4 linked regions of the Arabidopsis thaliana genome follow. The protein of the gene in region 4 interacts with the protein of the main gene of each other region in a pairwise test. Each region holds a gene or a part of one and is shown on either strand. Other genes may lie near its edges.

What was found.
Region 1: the proteins of MYBR1 (region 4) and TPR3 interact in a two-hybrid assay, tested with the Arabidopsis thaliana proteins (one study listed by BioGRID).
Region 2: the proteins of MYBR1 (region 4) and TPR1 interact in a two-hybrid assay, tested with the Arabidopsis thaliana proteins (one study listed by BioGRID).
Region 3: the proteins of MYBR1 (region 4) and FHA2 interact in binary tests that used the Arabidopsis thaliana proteins (3 or more experiments, as listed by UniProt).

The regions. Positions count from the first base shown.
Region 1 is NC_003076.8:9,509,295-9,517,196, reverse strand, and holds the start of TPR3 (TOPLESS-related 3), read left to right. Parts: upstream 1-1,789; 5' UTR 1,790-1,933; coding exon 1,934-2,013; intron 2,014-2,099; coding exon 2,100-2,279; intron 2,280-2,360; coding exon 2,361-2,474; intron 2,475-2,695; coding exon 2,696-2,854; intron 2,855-2,956; coding exon 2,957-3,131; intron 3,132-3,218; coding exon 3,219-3,348; intron 3,349-3,445; coding exon 3,446-3,558; intron 3,559-3,644; coding exon 3,645-3,780; intron 3,781-3,884; coding exon 3,885-3,994; intron 3,995-4,151; coding exon 4,152-4,373; intron 4,374-4,450; coding exon 4,451-4,546; intron 4,547-4,618; coding exon 4,619-4,711; intron 4,712-4,875; coding exon 4,876-5,003; intron 5,004-5,190; coding exon 5,191-5,425; intron 5,426-5,510; coding exon 5,511-5,672; intron 5,673-5,769; coding exon 5,770-5,844; intron 5,845-6,049; coding exon 6,050-6,184; intron 6,185-6,276; coding exon 6,277-6,387; intron 6,388-6,504; coding exon 6,505-6,684; intron 6,685-6,807; and 7 more. UniProt on the Arabidopsis thaliana protein: Transcriptional corepressor. Negative regulator of jasmonate responses.
Region 2 is NC_003070.9:30,261,013-30,268,772, reverse strand, and holds the start of TPR1 (TOPLESS-related 1), read left to right. Parts: upstream 1-1,647; 5' UTR 1,648-1,873; intron 1,874-2,232; exon of another isoform or gene 2,233-2,264; 5' UTR 2,265-2,326; coding exon 2,327-2,406; intron 2,407-2,478; coding exon 2,479-2,658; intron 2,659-2,740; coding exon 2,741-3,013; intron 3,014-3,105; coding exon 3,106-3,283; intron 3,284-3,400; coding exon 3,401-3,524; intron 3,525-3,663; coding exon 3,664-3,773; intron 3,774-3,884; coding exon 3,885-4,056; intron 4,057-4,152; coding exon 4,153-4,262; intron 4,263-4,348; coding exon 4,349-4,418; intron 4,419-4,488; coding exon 4,489-4,562; intron 4,563-4,640; coding exon 4,641-4,736; intron 4,737-4,833; coding exon 4,834-4,929; intron 4,930-5,027; coding exon 5,028-5,155; intron 5,156-5,259; coding exon 5,260-5,494; intron 5,495-5,574; coding exon 5,575-5,715; intron 5,716-5,811; coding exon 5,812-5,874; intron 5,875-5,961; coding exon 5,962-6,108; intron 6,109-6,176; coding exon 6,177-6,287; and 11 more. UniProt on the Arabidopsis thaliana protein: Transcriptional corepressor. Activates TIR-NB-LRR R protein-mediated immune responses through repression of negative regulators such as CNGC2/DND1. Negative regulator of jasmonate responses.
Region 3 is NC_003074.8:2,295,894-2,300,072, reverse strand, and holds FHA2 (SMAD/FHA domain-containing protein), read right to left. Parts: upstream 2,188-4,179; 5' UTR 2,106-2,187; coding exon 1,511-2,105; intron 1,314-1,510; coding exon 1,156-1,313; intron 876-1,155; coding exon 666-875; 3' UTR 501-665; downstream 1-500. Other genes in the region: AT3G07230 (wound-responsive protein-like protein), read right to left, coding at 83-153. UniProt on the Arabidopsis thaliana protein: May play a role in the control of plant organ development and specifically in the regulation of stamen development. Does not show transactivation activity in yeast.
Region 4 is NC_003076.8:26,852,209-26,856,506, forward strand, and holds MYBR1 (myb domain protein r1), read left to right. Parts: upstream 1-1,813; 5' UTR 1,814-1,900; coding exon 1,901-2,818; 3' UTR 2,819-3,104; coding exon of another isoform or gene 3,105-3,710; 3' UTR 3,711-3,798; downstream 3,799-4,298. Other genes in the region: CYP81G1 (cytochrome P450, family 81, subfamily G, polypeptide 1), read right to left, coding at 3,105-3,710, 3,799-4,298. UniProt on the Arabidopsis thaliana protein: Transcription factor. Represses the expression of protein phosphatases 2C in response to abscisic acid (ABA). Confers resistance to abiotic stresses dependent of ABA. In response to auxin, activates the transcription of the auxin-responsive gene IAA19.

The sequences.
Region 1 (7,902 bases), about 17 Mb from region 4:
ACTTTAAATTTGAATATTAAACATCTTCATATTAAAAATAGAGTCATTTGGAAATATTATTAATAAAACTATTTATAAAATTAAATAGTACAGAATTTATAAAATGTAATATCATATAATTTATCCATATATGGCACGCATTCTTACCTAGTTTATCCTTAAATTATCAAGAAAAAAACAAATTTAAAAATATTTTCTACATTTATGTTAATAAGTAAATTTTACTTAAGTTAGGAAACATAGTATCAAATTTCTTATTTTACTTAAGTTAGGTTTTGAAGAATTAACCTCGATTTGTATCTATCGTGTTTTTAAAAAATGAAAATTGACATTTATCCTTAAATTTATAAGATATATTTGTAAATTGTATTGTTCTCATTAGTATACCCTAATCACTTTTCTATCTCTCTATAAATACCTGTAAATCTCATTCTAAAATAAAGTCAATACATTTAGCCTCTATATGGTACCAAAGCTTACAATTCTAAATGGTATAAAGAATATATATGATATATTGTGAAAATGTTGGTGCCACTTACCTCGGTACCAATCCGGTTTTCTATTCTCGAATGAACCATATATATAGCACTTAATTCAAGCTGGAATGCTTCAGATTACTCATGTCTCCATTGGTGATCAGTTAGCAAATACATTCACTAAATCTTTAGCGAAATCAATATTTCAAAAAAAAAGTTCCAAAATTAGAGCTACACGAGTACTTCCATACTAAAAGGACGTATAAAGAATATACATGTAAACCATATTGTTATATCCTAATCATTTTTTTCTATCTCTTAAATACTTGTAAATCTTAATTCTAATAAAGTTAATGTATTCGGCCTCTATAAAATTTTATTTTATATATACTTAATAAGTTATTTTCATACTCCATATGTTTCTTTTATTTGATTTTCTAGAAAAAAAATGTTTCAAAAAGATTAATTTTATAGGTTTTCAATACAATACTTATTAGTTATAATTGATAAATTGTAAACTTCAATAAAAATTATTGAATATTATTGGTTTAAAGTTATTAAAAATTTTAAATTATAAAAAATAGTACATTTAAAAAACAAGATTTAATATGTCTTTTTTTAATATTTATGTTTTTCCTAAAAAATCAAATAAAAAGAAATATTAAAAATATTATTTTCCTTTTTTTATTATTTTTCTTTTCAAATATCTATTTTCTAAATCCATATTATGTTTTTCTTTTATAAATAATCTCATTTCGCCATGGAGAACACGAGTAATTCTCCTGGTGTATGCCTAAAAAAAAAAGCAAAGATTATAATATGAGTATATATAATTATATATGACGTAACCTGCGAGATGTTGAATTGTCCACATTGTAATTGTCACGAACACTTAATTAAATCTTGCGAAAAAGAGATCTCAAAAATATCGCGAGAAAAAGAAAAAAAGGATAATATGAGAAAAGCCAAACGAAGAGTGCATCGAAAGCTGAGAGCGACATAATAAAGGAGAGAGAAAAATGTGGGGACCAGACTGGACGTGTGCACAGAATATTCACACTATTTGAATTTTGTTTTCGAATCCGCCACTCTATCTCCAAATCAACTTATCACTCAATTTGATAATAACTTAACCTACCTCTCTTATAAGGAAGCCTACTTATCACCGACGAAGACTCCGCTTATATCTGATAAGTCGGTAGAACGATGTCTCTGTGCAAAGAAGAACGCGTCCAAGAAAGCGAGGTCTAAAGTTTCTCAATCCCCCAATCTTCTCCTCCTTCTTTATATATTCTCTCTCTCTCTCTCCATTTTTCTCTAAAAGCTAGAGCTCTTCAAAACCCTAGAAATCCTCGAAATCAGAGTCTTTACCTGGGCTCGTGTCTTCAGAGCTCGGATTCGTGTTTCTTTCGTCGTCTCTCTTCTTCGTTTCTCGTCAGATTTGAGATTCGTTGAGAATGTCGTCGTTGAGTCGAGAGTTGGTGTTTCTGATACTTCAATTTCTGGAGGAAGAGAAATTTAAGGAATCTGTGCACAGGTTAGTCTATTTATATGGTTTGTTTTGTGTTGTGTTGTGAGAGGCTGAATTTTGGGATTGACTGATTTGTAATTTGTTAAATATAGGCTTGAGAAAGAGTCAGGATTCTTCTTCAATACCAAGTATTTTGATGAGAAAGTTCTAGCTGGAGAATGGGATGATGTTGAGACGTATTTGTCAGGTTTTACTAAGGTTGATGATAACAGATACTCTATGAAGATTTTCTTTGAAATTAGGAAGCAGAAGTATCTCGAGGCTCTTGATCGGTATGATTATAAGCTGTCTTATTTGTTTTTTTACTCTTGAAGATTTGTGGTTTTAGAGTTTGATGTTCTCTGTTGTTACAGGCAAGAGAAGGCAAAAGCAGTTGAGATACTAGTGCAAGATTTGAGAGTTTTCTCCACTTTCAATGAGGAGCTTTACAAAGAAATCACTCAACTCTTAACTTTGCAAAACTTTAGGTATGATATATTGAATTTTGATCTCTCCTTGTTGATGTTTCTGTTGTTATGGAAAGTAGGAATATGAGACTTGGTTTAGGTTCAGTCCAAGTCGAGTTCGTGATGCTTTGTAGACTGTTTTTGTTTGGATGTGAAAGAGGGTGTGATACTCGAGTTTCTCTCTCGATTGTTTGCGTTTTGTGGATTGAAATTTGACATCAATGATTTTCATGAATCTGCAGGGAAAATGAGCAGCTTTCAAAATATGGAGACACTAAAACTGCTCGGGGCATAATGCTAGGCGAACTTAAAAAACTAATTGAAGCGAATCCACTTTTTCGTGATAAATTGATGTTCCCTACTTTGAGATCTTCGAGACTGCGGACTCTGATTAATCAAAGGTGTGTTTCTTTTTTCTTTCCTCATGACCATTCTGTATGTTGCAGATGAGGTTTGGATGACTTCGTTGTTGGATGATTCATTGTGCATATGTTCTCTTGCAGCCTCAATTGGCAGCACCAGTTGTGCAAGAATCCTAGGCCAAACCCAGATATTAAAACTCTATTCACAGACCACACTTGCACACTTCCGAATGGTCCTCTCGCACCTTCAGCAGTCAATCAGCCTGTTACTACTTTGACGAAGCCAGCAGCTTATCCGTCACTTGGACCTCATGTTGTAAGAAACCTCGATGTTTGACTGCTTTAATCATGTTTTTTGAATCTAAATTAATCTTAATGTTTGTGGAATCTGTATTACATGTAGCCCTTTCCACCTGGTCCTGCTGCTGCTAATGCTGGTGCTTTAGCTAGTTGGATGGCTGCTGCCTCTGGTGCTTCTGCTGTCCAAGCTGCCGTTGTTACACCTGCCTTGATGCCTCAACCTCAGAATCAAAGTTAGTTTTTGACGATCCTCTAGATTTCTAATCCTCGACTTATCAATAACTATCATTTCAGTTTCCATCAAAAACTTATTATTTTTCTTCCAAAAAGTGTCAATCTTGAAGCGACCAAGAACACCACCAGCAACTCCAGGTATAGTAGATTATCAGAATCCTGATCATGAACTAATGAAGCGTCTCCGCCCTGCTCCATCTGTGGAGGAGGTAACGCGAATTCTTTTCTTTTTCTGGAAAGCTGTTTATATAATTCTTGCATCTTCTCAAAATTCTAAGCATTTATCATTTTCCAGGTGACATATCCTGCTCCTAGGCAGCAAGCTCCATGGTCGCTGGAAGATTTGCCAACAAAGGCAGCTCTGGCGCTGCATCAAGGGTCCACTGTGACAAGCATGGAGTTCTACCCTATGCAAAACACGTTACTTCTTGGTATGGGGGTTTGAAAAAAAGAATACAAATTCTAAACTGTGTTTGAAGTTATATTTCTGTTATCTCTTATTTGGCTTTCTGAATGACCGTTTGAATGCCATCAGTTGGATCTGCGACGGGAGAAATCACATTGTGGGAACTTGCCGCTCGAGAGAGGCTGGTTTCAAGGCCATTCAAGATATGGGATATGTCTAATTGCTCACATCAGTTTCAGGTTTGTCTTTACAGCTAAGAAGTTTTTAGTTTATGTGTTTGATGTATAAAGGCGGAATTCAACCAAATGGCTATGAGAAGTGTTGGAGATAAAACGTATCAGCAAACTAGTTGCTGTGCAAGATTCTTATACTTGCCTTTCTTTTGGCATCATTCAGGCTTTGATAGCTAAAGAAACACCGATATCTGTCACTCGCGTTGCATGGAGTCCGGATGGAAATTTCATTGGTAAGCTTCCCGTCATGCATTGTTGGATTTTAATTGTATGTTGTCTATGGTCTCTGGTCTCAGTCTCTTATTGTGCAGGGGTTGCGTTTACAAAACATCTAATTCAGTTGTACGCTTTCTCTGGACCTAATGATCTTCGCCAACATACTGAGGTAAGCATACTTGTGATCTGTACGAGAAATATTGCGATGTAATAATATCCCACTGAGACTAGATCACTTTTTCACAGATTGATGCCCATGTCGGTGCTGTGAACGACTTGGCTTTCGCCAATCCAAACAGACAACTATGTGTAATTACTTGCGGAGATGATAAATTAATCAAGGTGAGATAAAGAGTCACAAAGTTTCACTGTTAGATATCAATGCAGCTGGCTAACTTGATCAATGTGGAACAGGTATGGGATGTTTCTGGTCGGAAGCATTTTACTTTTGAAGGCCACGACGCTCCAGTTTATTCCATTTGCCCTCATTACAAAGAGAACATTCAGGTGCGGCAAGGATTGAATCAAACTATATTTTACATCAATTATTATACTGTTTTACCAATCCGTTTGAAGAACAATAAAGTAGACGACACATTTCATATAGTATTATCTTGCCTATGAATTTCTGTTCTTTACCAAAATACATCTCGTTCTTATTTGGATTTCAGTTCATATTTTCAACCGCCATAGATGGGAAAATAAAAGCCTGGCTTTATGATAATCTGGGTTCCAGAGTTGACTATGATGCTCCCGGTAAATGGTGTACGAGGATGCTTTACAGTGCTGATGGTACTAGGTAAGATCTTAAACTCATAAACATTTCCCTCTTCTATACCGCTTGTTCTTCACTCCTCAGTTTCCAAAATCTTCAGATTCTTTTGTTTACTCCGGAGGATACTGAGTTGTGTCCTTGAGTTTCTAATCTTATCTTTCTGTTTTAAGTTTACCTTTTCAGTGCTTTCTGATGTTTTTTCCCCCTTCAGATTGTTCTCTTGTGGAACGAGTAAAGATGGAGATTCTTTCCTAGTTGAGTGGAATGAAAGTGAAGGATCAATTAAAAGGACGTATAAAGAGTTTCAGAAAAAGTTGGCAGGTGTGGTTCAGTTCGATACCTCAAAAAACCATTTTCTGGCTGTTGGTGAAGATGGACAAATCAAATTTTGGGATATGAACAACATCAATGTTCTGACTAGCACTGATGCTGAGGGTGGACTTCCGGTAAGTCCCAAAGATTCTTTTTCCCATGGCTTGTTGCTTGGATGTTCGTCTTTTTAGGTTTGCATATAACTTGTCCCAACTTCAGGCTCTTCCCCATTTGAGATTTAACAAGGACGGCAATCTTCTAGCCGTTACTACGGCAGATAACGGATTTAAGATCCTAGCTAATCCAGCTGGTTTCCGATCTCTTCGAGCGATGGAAACTCCAGCTTCTGAAACGATGAGGACTCCAGTTGATTTCAAAGCTGTAATGTTTCTCAACTTTGTATTACATTTTTTCCCTTTTTTACATCCACTGTCATTACAAGCTGTCTCGGTTTACACACTTTGGTATATTCTGTTAGGTTCCTGGTGCTCCTGTTGCGTCTGTCAATTGTAAAGTTGAACGAGGCTCTCCTGTTAGACACTCACAAATGCTGGTAAAATCACTCATTAAATGCTATGTTTCTAGCCATTTCTATAATTTATTATTCTGTTCTGGATTTTCGGTTGTAAATGAAGTGAACTTCCATTTGTCGAAATTGTAGTTTACTATTCTCTGACTATAGTAGTTGACTGTTTCCGATTTTTTTGTCATGTTTAAAAAAAATATTTACTAATCTTTTTTTTCTGAATATCCTCAAGAATGGAGTTGATCCCTCAAAGTCGAGAATCGATGACTCAACAGACAAACCAAAATCTTGGCAATTAGCTGAAATCTTGGACCCTTCCCAGTGTTTCCAAGCTACTTTACCCGATACCGCTGGTTCTTCCACAAAGGTTTGTGCAGTTATCTTTCTCAGAAAGTTGTTGGATTTCTATAAATGTTTTGAAATTGAGGCTTAATTTTCTCATGCTGCGTGGGAAAGCAGGTTGTTCAGCTTCTGTATACGAATTCCGGTGCTGGAATCTTGGCACTAGGTTCCAATGGTATCCAGAGACTCTGGAAGTGGGTTCCCAATGAGCAGAACCCTAGTGGAAAGGTAATCGTAAAAAAGAGTTTGAGAGAGCTTAATGCATGCTGTCTGCGGTTTTAAAGAGTTAGAGATAGCTTAATGCATGCTGTGTGCGGTTTTATTTAAGTACTGTTTATTATGCAGGCAACTGCTACTGTTGTTCCTCAGCATTGGCAACCAAACAGTGGTCTTCTTATGACCAATGATGTGTCTGGTGTAAACCTTGAAAACGCTGCCCCATGCATCGCTCTCTCTAAGAACGACTCATATGTCATGTCTGCTGCTGGAGGAAAAGTCTCGTTGTTCAACATGATGACTTTTAAGGTATATATTATCTATATGAACTTAAAAAAAGCCACAAGATTTCTAACTGAAAATGTTCTCACACTAATCTAGTAAACTCTTTTGGTTGTTCTAATTTCCACAAAAAAACTATTGGCCTTATAGGTGATGACAACATTCATGCCGCCTCCACCAGCATCAACGTTTTTGGCGTTCCATCCTCAGGACAATAACGTCATCGCCATTGGAATGGAAGACTCTACGATTCACATCTATAATGTCCGAGTGGATGAGGTAAGTAGTTTCTAGTACTAACCATTGCCACTTATGTAGTCTTTTTGATCTATGACAAGGAAAAACTTGTGAACCTTACGTTTTTTGAAGAAATGGTTCTCATAGCTTCACATATGTTTTACAGTTTAATTTTCCCCTCACTGCTAATGTTGCCTTAAAACTCTATCAACGATCTGAAACTTGCATATTGTGTTCCATCAGGTCAAATCAAAGCTAAAGGGTCACCAGAAACGCATCACAGGCCTAGCATTTTCTACAGCCCTCAACATCTTGGTTTCATCTGGTGCTGATGCACAGGTGTGTTATGCTGCGTCTTGTTGTTGTTGTTGTTGTCCTGTAGTAAATATATCTCAACTGAAGGGAAAAATGCTTGATTATTTTGTGTTGTTTCCTTGCTGGATTTTCTACCATTAGACTTATCTAATCTAGGAGGATACTTATTCTTCCTGTTGTCTTCTCTTAGATCTGCTTTTGGAGCATTGACACATGGGAGAAGAGGAAATCCGTTGCAATACAAATGCCAGCAGGAAAAGCCGCCAATGGAGACACGCGGGTTCAGTTTCATGTGGATCAGTTGCGTATTCTGGTAGTCCACGAGACACAACTGGCGGTATTTGATGCTTCCAAGATGGAATGTATCCGACAGGTATCTATGACTATGATGAGATCATCTCTGTAAATCCACTTATATAAAATGGATCATCTCTGACCTGGCATGTATATATGAAATGCAAGGTCATATATACATATTCTTAATCATTATTTTGAAATTTGTAATGACTTATGTTCTCTTGTTTTCATGTCTCAGTGGATTCCACAAGACTCGCTGTCTGCTCCTATATCTTCAGCGGTGTACGCATGCAACAGCCAGCTGATCTACACCACTTTCCGCGATGGTAACATTGGAGTATTTGACGCGGACAGTCTCAGATTAAGATGTCGTATCTCTCCATCCGCCTACTTGCC
Region 2 (7,760 bases), on a different chromosome or scaffold from region 4:
TGTCTGATATTGACATCTTAATTTATAACTTCCCTTTTCATTGTTAATGTTCCTTACTGTCTTCTGATTGATAATAAAGACGTTGACATGTCAAACCACATAATTATTTGAAAAATATATATTATTTCTTCAGATTTTCATCATTTGTTATAAGTCTCGATAAGACAGTTTTTGTTTTTTTAACAATTTTTTACAAAAAACTTACGACCATAATTTAGTTCAGGCGAAAATCAGTGAATCATTAATCATATTTATTAGTTTGGATTTTTATGTGTTTTTCTTTTTATGTATTTGAGGATTTTTCAGTTTGTGAAAACAAATCTAATATGCTTATTTGATTTCTTCTTTATTTGCTGTATTCTTAATATATCTTGCAGAGCTAAGGTAATACTCAAATTTTTTTTTTCCACACGTAAAAACTCATATTTATCAGTTTGGAATTACTGTATTCTTTTTAGTAGTCCTCTCACTCGCCATGGCAAGAAGAAGGTTTTTTTTTCCTTTTTCTTGCATTCCATGTTAATCAGTATTTGAATAAAAAAGCAAGCTAAATCGGCAAATGAACTTATATCCAAATAATCAAGATATCAATCTGTGTAAGCATTACTAGAAAAGTAGAGATACTCGTGTTACCGTGTAAATTAAAAGAATAAAAATGTGCTTTTCAAAAGTTATATACTTTTCTTGTGCACCCATAACTTTAGCAAAAGCAACCATCATCATTCTTGAGCAATTAAAACAAATAATATTGATCTTCATTTGGTGCCAAAATACTTTACGGTAATGACGTCAAACTCGATGTTTCTTGTCAAAGTCTGAAAGACCAATATAAAATAACACTAGACACATTATAAAATTAACATATTGGTTCATTGTAATTAAACCGTCGAATATATATAACGAAAATACCAATTACGCTGTGAATAAACAAACAAAATCATTTTATTAGTCATCGAGTAAATAAATTCGATTATAATCCTCAATAGTCAATATATATATAGCTCACATCACATTATGCGATTAACAAAAACAATCCAAAACAGTTAAATGATTAGAAATTAAACGAGTCTCACTAAATTATTAACGACTCCAAATCACGAGAAGGCTTAAGAGTTATCATGTCGGGAGAATTTAACTGATAACCTCTTCCATTATCTCTCAATCACGTGATTTTTGTTCAACGAGTACCGCATCTCAAGAATAAAAATGGCAATTTAGGTAAATATTTGTCATTTTCAAGGGCAATGGAACTTAAAGATGCATTTCAGAAGGAAAAGCTTTGTCGTGTTATGAGGGAAATGTGGGGACGCAGCTACTTCGCTTTCAAACCGTTGGATGAATATCCTTTAAGGTTCATCGTACAAGATCGACGGCACTCACCGAGGGTGTACTCATGTTGTGACACAGAGGATCATGTCTACTTGGAGTACAGCTAGCAGCTAGAGATTCTGAGCCGATAACGTCGAGAATTGTAGCCGGCTAAGTCGTATATGCTGGTTTAAACTTTAATCTGTACTTATATATAAGTCAACGTGCTTATCAAAATCAGCTCCCTTATCGTGTGATAGGTGCATTGTCTTATTAGACTCCGTTATCCGTCACCTTCGCATATTAAAATCACTTTTTATTTTTTGGTTTTAAATTAAAGTCTCCATTTCTGCAAGATTTTAATGTTCGTATAAATAAGCCTGAAGAGAGAGAGAGAGAGAGAGAGAAAACTTGTTTTTTTTTTTTCCATTAGTTTTTTTCTTACTTTCTGGTCGAGAGAGGAGAGTCCAAAAAACCCAAATCCTTGGCCTCTTTCAATATCAGGAGAGAGAAACTGAAGCTCTGGCCTTTGTTTCTGAAATCGATCGTCTTCTTCTTCTTCATGGCAAGTAACGTATCTAGGTCTTTCATTTTTGGTTTAATATCTAAATCGTAGCTTTTCTGGGTTTTTGATTTTTGTTTTTGTCTCATGGAAGTGAAAAAGATGGCCATTTTAAGCTTTATATTTAATTCGGTGGACAATAATAATACTAGGAAGACCTAATTTTTGTGTAGCCCAATTAAACACTAATTAAATCCGCCGGAATAGAGACTTTTGGAGAATTTTCCGGAGGATAGTTGTAAAGATCTAGTTATATACTGTGTAATTAAGAGGCTGTGTCTATTTTCATTTTTTAAAAATAATAATTAAATGGAGGAATATCTGAAACCCAGTAAATTGGGATGATTTGATGGTTTTGTAAGGTTATCATCGTCGCCATTATATTGATATGCAGATCTGGTGGGTTTTTCTGCATCTGACTTGATAGCTTTATCGGACTGAGTGGCAAAATCAATCATGTCTTCTCTGAGCAGAGAGCTCGTCTTCTTGATCTTACAGTTTTTAGATGAAGAGAAGTTTAAAGAGACTGTTCATAAGTATGTCCGATCTCTCTTTTCCTTTTTGTCTTTTATTAGGCATTATTATTAACTTGATTGATTATTAATTAGGCTTGAACAAGAATCTGGGTTTTTCTTCAATATGAAGTATTTTGAGGATGAGGTGCACAATGGTAACTGGGATGAGGTTGAGAAGTATCTCTCTGGTTTTACTAAAGTTGATGATAATCGATACTCCATGAAGATTTTCTTCGAGATTAGGAAGCAGAAGTATCTCGAGGCCTTGGATAGGTAACTTGTGTCTCTCAACAACAACAAGAATCAAATGTTTTCATATTGCCAATCAATCACACCTGCTGCTGCTTCTATCTAGGCATGATCGTCCCAAGGCTGTCGATATTTTAGTCAAAGATTTGAAAGTGTTTTCCACTTTTAATGAGGAGCTTTTCAAGGAAATCACTCAGCTCTTGACCTTAGAAAACTTCAGGGAGAACGAGCAGTTATCCAAGTATGGGGACACAAAGTCCGCCAGAGCTATCATGTTGGTGGAACTCAAGAAGTTGATTGAAGCTAATCCTTTATTCCGTGATAAATTGCAGTTTCCTACCCTTAGAACTTCACGCCTCAGGACTCTGATTAATCAGAGGTATTCTTTGTCCTTTCTTGTTCACTTCAACAAATTTTCTTCTTGTCAGCTACTTTAACTCCTTGTTTCTATGTGGCTACATAAACCTGCAGCTTAAATTGGCAACACCAGCTTTGTAAGAACCCAAGGCCTAATCCTGATATTAAGACTCTCTTTGTCGATCATTCCTGCCGCCTACCAAATGATGCACGAGCACCATCCCCTGTCAACAATCCGCTTCTTGGATCATTACCAAAAGCCGAGGGATTTCCTCCTCTAGGCGCACACGGGGTAGGTCAATTTCCACCTGATTTTTCGTATTTTCTATAAGTGCCATTTCTACTGCTTTTGGTTCTAGCTCTATAGTTACCTTTACATGCCGTGCTTGACTTACCTTTATGTCTTTAGCCTTTTCAACCAACACCTTCTCCGGTTCCGACACCTCTTGCTGGTTGGATGTCTAGTCCTTCCTCTGTCCCACATCCAGCTGTGTCTGGAGGACCCATTGCTCTTGGTGCTCCATCCATCCAAGGTTATTTGCTTATCAAATGTGGTGTTTCTTTATAAAAGCTGTGTGGAACTATAGTCTTAAATTTTATCCTCGCCTTTTTTTCAGAACCTTTAAGTTTCACCTGTGATCTATGTAACATGTTCTCCTTTTTGGTTCTTAGCAGCCTTGAAACACCCGAGAACTCCTCCTTCTAATTCCGCTGTAGACTATCCATCAGGTGACTCAGACCATGTCTCAAAGCGAACCAGACCTATGGGAATCTCTGACGAGGTGAGAAAAATCTTAATTAATATTATATATTTTCTTATCAATACCAATTTTACATAATTGGTAGTACTAGTTTAGACTTTAAACGTATTTCTTCTTTCTCCCCATATGTAGGTGAGTCTAGGTGTGAACATGTTACCAATGACATTCCCGGGGCAGGCTCATGGTCATAATCAAACCTTCAAAGCACCTGATGACTTGCCCAAGACAGTTGCACGAACTTTGAGCCAAGGCTCATCTCCCATGAGCATGGATTTCCATCCTATTAAACAGACTCTGCTACTAGGTCTGTTTCTTGGTCTGTATGCATATTTCATGTAACATACATCATCAGAAATTTTGTAAAACCAGAAGTTTCTTGCTTCAATTTTCTTTGTTCCAGTTGGTACGAATGTAGGGGATATTGGGCTCTGGGAAGTCGGTTCTCGAGAACGTCTAGTCCAGAAGACTTTCAAAGTTTGGGACTTGAGTAAATGTTCGATGCCCTTGCAGGTGTCTTCTTTTGTGAAAATCAACCAGAATATTAATATCTAATATCTATTTGAAACTTCAGTGACCAACAATTCTGGTCTTTATAGGCTGCTTTGGTGAAAGAACCTGTCGTTTCTGTCAACCGTGTGATTTGGAGCCCGGACGGTTCCCTATTCGGTAAGACTTGAGATTACAAATGCTCTTTCAACCGATTTGAGTATTCATATGCGCACGTTTTCAACTGCAGGAGTTGCTTATTCGAGACATATTGTACAGCTATACTCTTATCACGGTGGTGAAGACATGAGGCAACACCTTGAGGTGTGATATAGTTTACAACAACATTTTAGGAGTATTTCTTTCATTTCCTGTAATGAAAATCATTTTTTATTATTTCAGATTGATGCTCATGTTGGCGGTGTCAATGACATTGCATTTTCCACTCCGAACAAGCAACTATGTGTTACTACTTGTGGTGATGACAAAACCATCAAGGTTCAGTATTTTTTTTCTTCTTTCATTTCCTTAACTCTTGTTTTTTTTTTTTTTTGTTGGAACTCTAAAAACAGACTAATCAATTCTGTGAATTAAGGTCTGGGATGCTGCAACGGGTGTAAAACGGTATACTTTTGAAGGCCATGAAGCTCCTGTTTACTCTATCTGCCCTCACTACAAGGAAAACATTCAGGTAAAGTAGCAATATTTATACGGTTTCATTTTTGCTAAGTACAAGTTGAAATTCGTTTCTATTTGGTTTTGACTTGTTTATTTCTTCTTCTGCTTAAGTTTATCTTTTCAACTGCTCTTGACGGAAAAATAAAAGCATGGTTATATGATAATATGGGTTCTCGGGTTGACTACGAAGCTCCTGGTCGCTGGTGTACAACGATGGCCTACAGTGCTGATGGAACTAGGTTATAACATGATTCTCATCATCTTTATGTTGTGGTTCTGTTCTGTATCGTCATGAAGTGATAATAAATTTAAAATCTATTTTTTATTATATTCACATGGATAGGCTATTTTCTTGTGGGACGAGTAAAGATGGGGAATCGTTCATAGTTGAGTGGAATGAAAGCGAAGGAGCTGTGAAGAGAACTTATCAAGGATTCCACAAGCGTTCCCTTGGTGTTGTCCAGTTTGATACTACTAAAAACCGTTATCTCGCTGCGGGTGACGACTTCTCCATTAAGTTCTGGGATATGGACACCATACAGCTTTTGACTGCCATTGATGCTGATGGAGGTCTCCAGGTATGCAAACAAATACCTCGATTCTCCCTGGGAACCGAATGTTTTCATTTGCAGCCATCATGGCTCTCTATGTTTTGTAGGCAAGTCCACGGATCAGATTTAACAAGGAAGGCTCTCTCTTGGCTGTTTCCGCAAATGACAATATGATTAAGGTTATGGCAAACTCAGATGGTCTAAGGCTATTGCACACAGTCGAGAACTTATCTTCTGAATCCTCCAAGGTACTGAATTTTGTGCTCACTGGATCTTCAACAAGCAAATTACTAACCCCCAATTTGAAATTTCTTCAACACTTTATTTTTCATGTACATTTGCAGCCTGCAATCAACAGCATTCCGATGGTAGAGAGACCTGCCTCTGTCGTTTCCATCCCTGGAATGGTACGAAAATCGATACTTTTTCCGTCAGTTTCTCTATCTCTTGGTCTGGGTCCAATCATCGTTGTTGATCACTTACCTTTCCAACAGAATGGAGATTCGCGGAATATGGTGGATGTGAAGCCAGTGATTACCGAAGAATCAAATGATAAGTCTAAGGTATGGAAGCTTACTGAAGTCGGCGAACCCTCTCAGTGCCGTTCATTGAGACTCCCTGAGAATATGAGAGTCACCAAGGTACTAACACATAGACTGACATAACTGTACTTATATGGCTTGATTCTAATGACTCAAAACTTGAGCAGATATCGAGATTGATTTTCACAAATTCGGGAAATGCAATTTTGGCATTGGCATCAAATGCTATTCATCTGCTATGGAAGTGGCAGCGAAATGACCGTAATGCAACTGGGAAGGTACTTATGGTCTAAAATCTTCCTTTAAGATCGCCAAAAGAGTTGAAATCATGATGAAATTCAATTTGAGATTTTGTGTAGGCAACGGCTTCTTTACCTCCTCAGCAGTGGCAACCAGCGAGCGGGATCTTAATGACAAACGATGTGGCTGAAACTAATCCAGAAGAAGCCGTACCCTGTTTTGCTTTATCGAAAAATGATTCCTACGTGATGTCAGCATCGGGAGGAAAGATCTCTTTGTTTAATATGATGACGTTTAAGGTAAAATCCCAGCTACAGACAGCACTATGTCTAATGTATGCAAACAATGCTTCATCTGTTACATTTAATTGTGTTGTTGGCTAAGCGCAGACAATGGCTACTTTCATGCCGCCTCCTCCTGCCGCAACGTTTCTTGCTTTTCACCCTCAAGATAACAATATCATTGCGATCGGGATGGATGACAGTACAATACAGATTTACAATGTTCGTGTTGATGAGGTTAAGAGCAAGCTTAAAGGACATTCTAAGAGAATAACCGGCCTCGCTTTCTCCAATGTATTAAACGTTCTGGTTTCGTCTGGAGCAGACGCTCAGGTGCTGATTCATCTCATGTTTTGTAATAAAGAATCCAAATCCTTAGAAGTCTTAGTGTGAATCTTTTGGTTTTTGTATGCAGCTTTGCGTATGGAACACGGATGGATGGGAGAAGCAGAAAAGCAAGGTTCTGCAAATTCCACAGGGAAGATCCACGTCTTCTTTGTCAGACACGCGTGTTCAGTTTCATCAAGATCAAGTACACTTCCTTGTGGTCCATGAAACTCAGCTCGCTATATACGAAACAACCAAGCTTGAATGCATGAAACAGGTTTTAGTCTTTATATATGTTCATTCTCTCTCCTTGCATCTGAGTAACCCTTATAGAAGAAAGAAATGTCTTTATTTTGATTCCAGTGGCCTGTGCGTGAATCAGCAGCTCCAATAACACATGCCACATTCTCATGTGATAGCCAATTGATATACACAAGTTTCATGGACGCTACAATATGCGTCTTCAGCTCTGCAAACCTTCGATTGCGTTGCAGAGTCAATCCCTCTGCATATTTGCCAGCTTCTCTCAGGTGAGTTAATGAAATGAATATAAACTAGTGCAATGTTGGATCATGAATCTTGAGTCTTCATGTTGATGTTTTGTGCAGCAACTCGAATGTCCATCCACTGGTGATAGCGGCTCATCCGCAAGAATCCAACATGTTTGCAGTGGGTCTGTCAGACGGAGGGGTCCATATATTCGAGCCGCTTGAGTCAGAAGGTAAATGGGGAGTAGCTCCACCGCCTGAAAATGGCTCAGCCAGCGCTGTCACGGCTACACCTTCCGTTGGAGCTTCTGCCTCTGACCAGCCTCAGAGATGATCTGCTTCAGTTTCTTACTCTGTTTTTTTTGTGGGGGTTTTAGATCTTTTCCGATTTATTATTGTTTTGTTTGTGTGGGGG
Region 3 (4,179 bases), on a different chromosome or scaffold from region 4:
AAGAATGACACATCAATAGATAGATCTGGGAACAACATCGAGATAATCTCATATTTGGATCAGACAAGACAAGATTTTGTACCTTTTGTCGGACGAGCTACCCTTCTGGCTCAGGAAGGATCTGAATAGACCAGAGTTCACATCATAGATCATCTTCACTCAACTATCTCGTAAGCTTCGATTACCGGAAGAAGGGGAAGATCTGGACAAAATCGATGAAACGGAAGCAGTTTTTTTTTTTTATATAGCTTTTTCGATCTCAGAATTTTGCTTTAGTGGCTGCTACAAGATACGAGTATAACCCTAAGTTTGCACATTCCAACCTTTTTATATTGTCTGGATACGTACTTGAGCCACTTTGGATCATTCTCTGTTTCGGCCTTTTCTCTTTTTATGGCCCAAATCCACCGAACATAACGATTTCTGAATTGGCACGAATTTTTTGCCCTTTGATGAAAGAAAAATCTCGATGGGTTTATCAAAAATAAGAATCAAGAAAAAGAAAATCAAAATCTCTCAACTGCAAGGACCAAGAAGTTGGCGTTTTTGGGTGCAGAAAAACGACACAGCGTGTTACTAATCAATGCCAAAATATTTTACATATGAAACAAAGAAAAGAGAGAAAAGCTTCTTAAATCTTAATCCGAGTCACTAAGGTAAAGTTCTCATGAGAGTAGGGTAACGAGGGAAACGAATTCAAGGGTAACTCTTCCCTTTGATCTCGTGTTGATGACGAAATGCTCCGGGTATTTTCTCAGCAGCATCAGCAAACCGTACCATGGTTTACCTTTTGCTTCAGGGATAGCCCAGTCTTCTTGTGATAGGTATCTTCTTACTCGACTGTGATGCCATACGTTTCCATACTCCTTTAATATCTGTCACAGACCAACCACTACCATGCATTAGCCATCATATTGAATCACAAAGAAGTTCATAGTCAGACTACACTAGTCATTCAAAATCTATGGAGTAACTGACATACTTTCTAGACTTAGACACATATAAGTAGCGTAGCGCGTTTCCATTGGAAAACTAATTAAGGACCTAGCTTCACACTAATTATCACCTTGACATTATACAAGTCTTGTTTCAATTGATTACTCGTACTACATTCTGTATTAGAAAAAGGCAAGGAACTTTCTCATAAAAACTAACCACCGAATGAAGTTTTTCCATAGGCATCCACTCTCCCGGACCACACAAATCGGAAAGCACAGTGGCAACAGACGATACAACATCTTTTTCCTCCAGCTGCAAAAATTGTTGATCATCAGCTTCACGATCTACCTTTGATCTTCCCTCTCTCTTCTTCTCTGCACAAATGAAGCAGATACAATGTCGTGGTGTCACTAGCATTCAAATTCAATCCAAGTCTAACAAGGTTCAATCAGCAACCACCACAATCAAAGTCTAAAGAAACAAGCCTGATGTGATCAAGTAAGCATCATAATCTGAAACATATCTAGTTGCACAATGAAAACTCAAACAATCATGAGCAATCTGGTTTTACCTCCGGAAGCATATACTACTTCATGTCCATCTCTCCTTGTTTTCTTTCCACTTCCTCTCATATCGTCCTCCTCATCGTCGTCGTCATCATCATCTTCATCATCGTACTCATACAACTCTCTACTCCTGACGCCCTTCTTACCCGACCCAGAACCTGGACCCGACTGATAATTATGGTATGGAACAACACTTGTTTGCCCAGAGACGTGGTGCCTAGGTCCCAACGGCCCGCCTAAGATGCTCCGAACCGGTAGGAGAAAGTAGAACTCTTTGTCTCCGATCTGCAAAAGGTCTTGTGAATCGAGCTTGACGTTAGGATTCCCAGGGAGATGAAGAACACCTTCAACGAGGCAGCCATTTTTGCCAAGGACCTCGAGAGAGAAGCGTCGTCTAGTGAAGTCATAGAAGATCCGAGCGTGGTTGCGCGAGATGTTCATCCCACCGCCGAGGGATGAGAGATCAACGTCGACGGTGGCTTTCTTAGAATTCCGGCCGAGTATAATGGAGTAAGACTGCATATAGTACTCGAAATCCTCACCTTGAAGCTTCGCAAATCCAACCTCCACATCGCTTCCGCCACCAACAGCCGTAGCCATGCCGTGAAATTCTCCGATTTGATCGAAAGAGGAACCGGGACTTCCAAATTAGGGATTGCAATCGTAATAATTTGTGAATCGAAGCAAGATTTGTTTGGAAACTGGTTTAGCTTATCCAGGACAAAGGCTTATTTTGTGAAATTGACGATTATACCCATGATTTTAAGACCTGAATAAAAACCCTAATGACACAACTATTTAAAACAGCCGAAGAAACATTGAGAATGGCGGCGAGATCTGTGAGCTTAAAGGTTCCATCTCTCCCGCAAATAGTGGAGCATCTTATTGATTGTTTGAATTTTTTGATTTCGTTTGCTTTAGAACATAGGCTTGGTTAGTTTTATGTAACCTTTTGTTTATTTTCGTTGTTGGTTTGATTGAATAAGTTGCCAAATGATGATTGAAAATTTTGCGCAAGGGTTTTGAGTTTCGGATGATTGGAGTTTACTCTGGTCTGAAGGAACCGTGACAAAATTATTTTCTAATAATTCATTCTGATGGCAGCTCAATCATTGTTAGATATATCAAATTTCAATTCGAGTTTTGGGTGCATGGTTTGATTCGGATGGTTAATTGTAGTTTGTTTTGTTAGTAGAAGCTTGGTTTTGGGGCAGCTTAATGAATTTTAGGATTCAAGTTTTCAAATCATTTAGCCTATAATGTTCTGAAATGTGTTGTGTAATGGCTTTGATTTCCTGAGGATCTGACTATAGAATGTTTAAAATCCTGAGGAACGGTGGGAAATCATGTATTTGTGTTTCTTTTTTTTTTTAAGATTCAGGTTCTACAAATTATGCTTAAAGGGCTTTGAGCTCCTGACCGCTTGTATTATGAGATCCAAGAAAATGTGAAAAGTCGTTTTTTTTTCCTTTCCCATTTTGATGGTTTGGGTTGCATTTTACTGTTCTTTTAGTTATCATGACTATGCTAGATTCTGGTCTGGACATAAGTTGCTTAAGATGTGTGGAAATTATGCGTAATGGATTTAGAATTGGCAATTTGTTATTTGAAGGAATTCACTTCTATAGATATCCTTTAATGGCACCCGTTCATGGTCAGCTCCAAATATGCAAGAAATCGGAAAATGCATTAGTGTAGTCCTCTTTTCTGGTATATTGTCAATACTCAAATCTTACATAAACTTTGTTTCAAGGACAATGAAGCATGTGGTCAAGATTTTGAGCCTGCTGGTAGCTGTCTCTGCCTTTTAGTTTGCTCTCTTGCAGGCTGCAATTATGGCTCGTAGCCAAACATAGTTGGTTAGTAATGAGTCTGTTGTGCTCATTTTTGCTTATTGCTATTCTCAGTTAGTCAATATTAATAATGTATATCTTTGCACCAGCTACCTATATACGTTGTAGTGTCCTTTGCTATTAATTGTTGGAATCGGTTTAGTGCAGTTCCCTACCTCTCCTAAAGAAGCAGTTTTTCTGCAGCGGGTACTTTCAGTACTCTTTTCTTTCTTTGTTAACTCGAATTGTTAATTAAGGTTAAATTAAGTTCTTGACTAGTGCTTTTGCTCCTAGCTGTTGTTAATGTTGATTATGTACTAGTTTGTTTTGGTGCTATTGTTATATTGCAGGATATTGCAGATGCAAAAAGACTTCTTAAGCGCTAACGGAATTGATGTTGGATCGGATTTGACACATTATGGTTTACTTCTTTTCAACTCCCTAACCAGTGTAATAGAATACTTGGAGTCTTCGATGGTTCATAGAAAGAGTTCCCATTTTCATTATGTACAGTCGTTTACTATGTTTTTTTGAGAGATGTACATTGAGAAACCGGTGTTTGCAATTGGATTTTGTTTTGGGGTTTTAAACATGATGAAGAACAATGTTATTCTGATAAGTTCACTTTAATTGACTTTTTTTTTTGGAATATCGTTTGTTACATTTTTTCTCGTGTATACAATAAGTTGTGAATCCAACTCTTTCAAGTTTAAACTACTTGAGATTAACTTAAATGCTCCAATAAAATTGATTGAATTGGATTTTCTAGTTTTGTTTGTTTTGAAGTAAAAAGTTGGACTTGAATGCTGATAAGTGATAATAAATTGACTTGCAACCATAAC
Region 4 (4,298 bases):
TACAAATGTTTTCAAAATGTCATACTATAGTAGTCATTTATAATAGATATGAAAAATGATCACAGTTGATTTGTTTTTTTGGTGGACTACGAATAAAATCGTTTTGGTAATTGTCTAATCTTCGAGTGAGTAAGACACCGTCAATCAACCATCAATATCATCAATCAAAACCATTATTGATCTATTTTTTGGTTTAAGGAAAAGTTGGTAATTGTAAAACGACTTCAATAAAATATTTAAAACAAGGAGACCAAAACCGACACTCGGACCATTGATAATAGAAACAACGAGCAAGGTTATAGTAGTATAGTTGAGTCTCACAAACGAACACGTAAACCCAATATAATAACTACGCAAGGTTACATCTAGAGCTTATTGTTCCCATCACAATAACCTCTTGGCATTATTAATTATCAAATTCACTCAAAGTATTAAACTCCTGATGTCTAATAGATTATCAACAAATCGACAAAAATGTAGATATATAACTCAAAAGGTATAAATTCAAATGTTTGGTGGGGTTACGTAAAAACTTGAATTATTAAGAACTAACAATACTATAGTTTAATTAAAAGGAGAATTATGAACCGTTAGAGGGAAGGTTAGGGAGCGTGCATGAACATTACCTGACGTTTACCGACCTGATTCGTACCGTACATACCAGAACAAAGAGCTTTTAAAAACCCGCGTTTTACGACCGACACGTGGCAGTTCTTAAATGGATGACAGTTAGTGTTTTATTAATTGTTTTTGTTTGATTAACAAGTTTTATACAGCCTGGCTGTTTCTATTCGTATTTTCGATATAATAATTAAATATATTTCAGGAAACAAAGGCAGTGATGATTTTGCGTTCCAATTCGGCAACCTATGTTGTCGTTTTCTGCCACGTCAAAACCTCCTATCTTTTGTTAACCGCACATTTTACATCACGTTTCCTAAACCGAACATTAATATCTAACCATTTTTATACATTCACTTAATATCGCTCACACGGTTCTTTGTCAATCCCATTTTAATCCAGCTTCGTTTCAAATTATTGAGGTTTAGATCTTTTTATGATCATAGAGCAACTATATATAGATTTAGTATTGTCAATTTGTCATGCACTGTTATATGCATGAATTAGGTGTTTGTGTGTTGTTTAGTAATTAATTATACCTTCTTAGTGACAATTTGTTTTCTTTATTAGTAATGAAATTTGTGGTCAATAATTTTGATTAGTTTTCAACCCGGAAAATCGGTTATATGTAAAGTAGATATTATCATAAAGTTTTTATGTGAAGTGCTATACAGCCTGGCTTCGCTATTCTAAAGTCAAGACTAAACATAAAAATAAATAAAAACTGTCCTTACCCAAACCTAACCGTTATCATCTTTTTATTTTTTTCTTCAGATATTTCTTTTTCATTTTTATTTCCCCTATAAAAAAATTTAAATTCACCTCAAATTGTGCGAATATTATCATGGCTTTGCTAGTTGGGTTTCGTGATTTTGTCTCTTTAACTTCTTACTTTCGCCACGCGCTTAAATGGCGCGTGTACTCACAAACTCATACTTTGAGACTCGACTGATCTCCACGCTCAACTATACGAAATTGCTGATCTTGAACAAAATTATTACGAAAACGACAAAAAAGACACATCGACGTAGTCAGGCTTCGACGCGTGTCCACTTACAGCTGTACCGCAAACTTTGAAAAACCGCTTGCGTGGAAGAAGCGTTGCCCATGACTTCTCCACCGTCTTAACCGGTTTCCGGTTATCCTCCTCTCTTAAATCTCTGTATAAATAATTTTGTCCTCTCTTTAGTTTCTCGAACTTGTTTTTGGTTCATCTCTCAAAACCAAAATCACTAAAGAGGAGAAGATTGCTAAAGTTTGATAAAACATTCCAAAATCAATGGCTGATAGGATCAAAGGTCCATGGAGTCCTGAAGAAGACGAGCAGCTTCGTAGGCTTGTTGTTAAATACGGTCCAAGAAACTGGACAGTGATTAGCAAATCTATTCCCGGTAGATCGGGGAAATCGTGTCGTTTACGGTGGTGCAACCAGCTTTCGCCGCAAGTTGAGCATCGGCCGTTTTCGGCTGAGGAAGACGAGACGATCGCACGTGCTCACGCTCAGTTCGGTAATAAATGGGCGACGATTGCTCGTCTTCTCAACGGTCGTACGGACAACGCCGTGAAGAATCACTGGAACTCGACGCTCAAGAGGAAATGCGGCGGTTACGACCATCGGGGTTACGATGGTTCGGAGGATCATCGGCCGGTTAAGAGATCGGTGAGTGCGGGATCTCCACCTGTTGTTACTGGGCTTTACATGAGCCCAGGAAGCCCAACTGGATCTGATGTCAGTGATTCAAGTACTATCCCGATATTACCTTCCGTTGAGCTTTTCAAGCCTGTGCCTAGACCTGGTGCTGTTGTGCTACCGCTTCCTATCGAAACGTCGTCTTCTTCCGATGATCCACCGACTTCGTTAAGCTTGTCACTTCCTGGTGCCGACGTAAGCGAGGAGTCAAACCGTAGCCACGAGTCAACGAATATCAACAACACCACTTCGAGCCGCCACAACCACAACAATACGGTGTCGTTTATGCCGTTTAGTGGTGGGTTTAGAGGTGCGATTGAGGAAATGGGGAAGTCTTTTCCCGGTAACGGAGGCGAGTTTATGGCGGTGGTGCAAGAGATGATTAAGGCGGAAGTGAGGAGTTACATGACGGAGATGCAACGGAACAATGGTGGCGGATTCGTCGGAGGATTCATTGATAATGGCATGATTCCGATGAGTCAAATTGGAGTTGGGAGAATCGAGTAGACAAAGTGAGATTATTAGGAAACTGTTTAAATTGGAGAAGAAGAAAAATGCTCTGTTTTTTTCTCCTTTGGATTAGGCTTAAGAATTTTGGGTTTTAAGGAAATGTATAGAGGAAATCGAGTGAACAAAGCTCGAGAGCTGGGGACGTAGTGACGAAGACGAAGATCAAATTTCTCTTAAGCTATTCAGGAAAATAAAATAAATTTTTATTTATAACTACGCTTAATGATGATAATAGATCAAATTAATACACAAAGTATCACAAAGTGAAAGATAAATGATCCAGTTAAAGAACAAGTTTGTCGAGGATTGGTAAAGACTTGCATTTGGCAACTAAAGGCACAGATTTGGGCATGGTAAGACCCTTTCCTTCCGACATGTCAACGGCAACGTCATTGTCTCTCTCCCAATCGAAACACTGGATCAATGAGCCTAAAGCTAAGCTCAGTACTAGTTGGGCCAGGCCCATACCAGGACATGCTCTCCTACCGATTCCGAAAGGCAGAAACTTACCACGATGGGTCTCTGATTCAAACCTCTCTGGTTTGAAAGTTTCTGGGTCATCCCATACATTTGGGTCTCTCTGAATAGCCCACGCATTGATAAATAGCCAGGTGCGACGTGGAATGTCAAATCCAGCGACTTCACAGTCAGTGGATGAAGCGTGTGGGACAAGTAAGGGCGCCGCCGGAAACAAACGAAGAGTCTCAGAGATCACATTGTTGAGATAGGGACACTTGCCAGTATCTGATTCCTCAAACACACGCCCTTCTTTCGAAACCTCGTTTAGTTCCGTTTTGAGTTTCCTTAAAACTTCCGGATGATTTAGAAGGTTAGCCATAGCCCACTCCAACGTCACTGCGGTTGTGTCCGTTCCAGCAAGCAACATCACCTGCAATGAATCCTTTGAATCTTTGATGAATCAATCTTGATCACTCCTATTAACGATTCAAAATTATAGGAATTAAAAACTCATGTACCTGTACGAGCCCTTTGATGATATCATCAGTGTAACATTCAGGTTCTGATTCTTGAAGAGACAGCAAACGAGTGATCATCGTTTTCTCAAGCTCTGCTTTTCCTCTGTTTTTCCGATGCTCGTCGACTAATTTCTGCATAAACTTGTCCAATTTCGAAGCGAGTTTCTTTGCTCTCTTTCTGTATCCATCAAGATCAAAGAGCTTCAGAGTCGGGAGAAAATCTCCGACATAATTAACACCAGCGAAATCGAACACCTCCCTAATCAGCTTCCGAACTTCCTTAGTTTCCTCGTCTTCCTCTCGTTTTCCAGCGACCATGCTCATTAGGATGTTATACGTAAGCCCATAAAGAAACGGCTGGAGTTTCAATCTGACACTGCCTCCTGATGTTACCAGTTCCACGTTGATCTTCCGAATCATAGCTCTCACTTCGTCTCTCCGTATATCCGAAAAGTCTCTGAGACGAGCGGTGGACAAGATATCTACGGCGCAGAAACGGC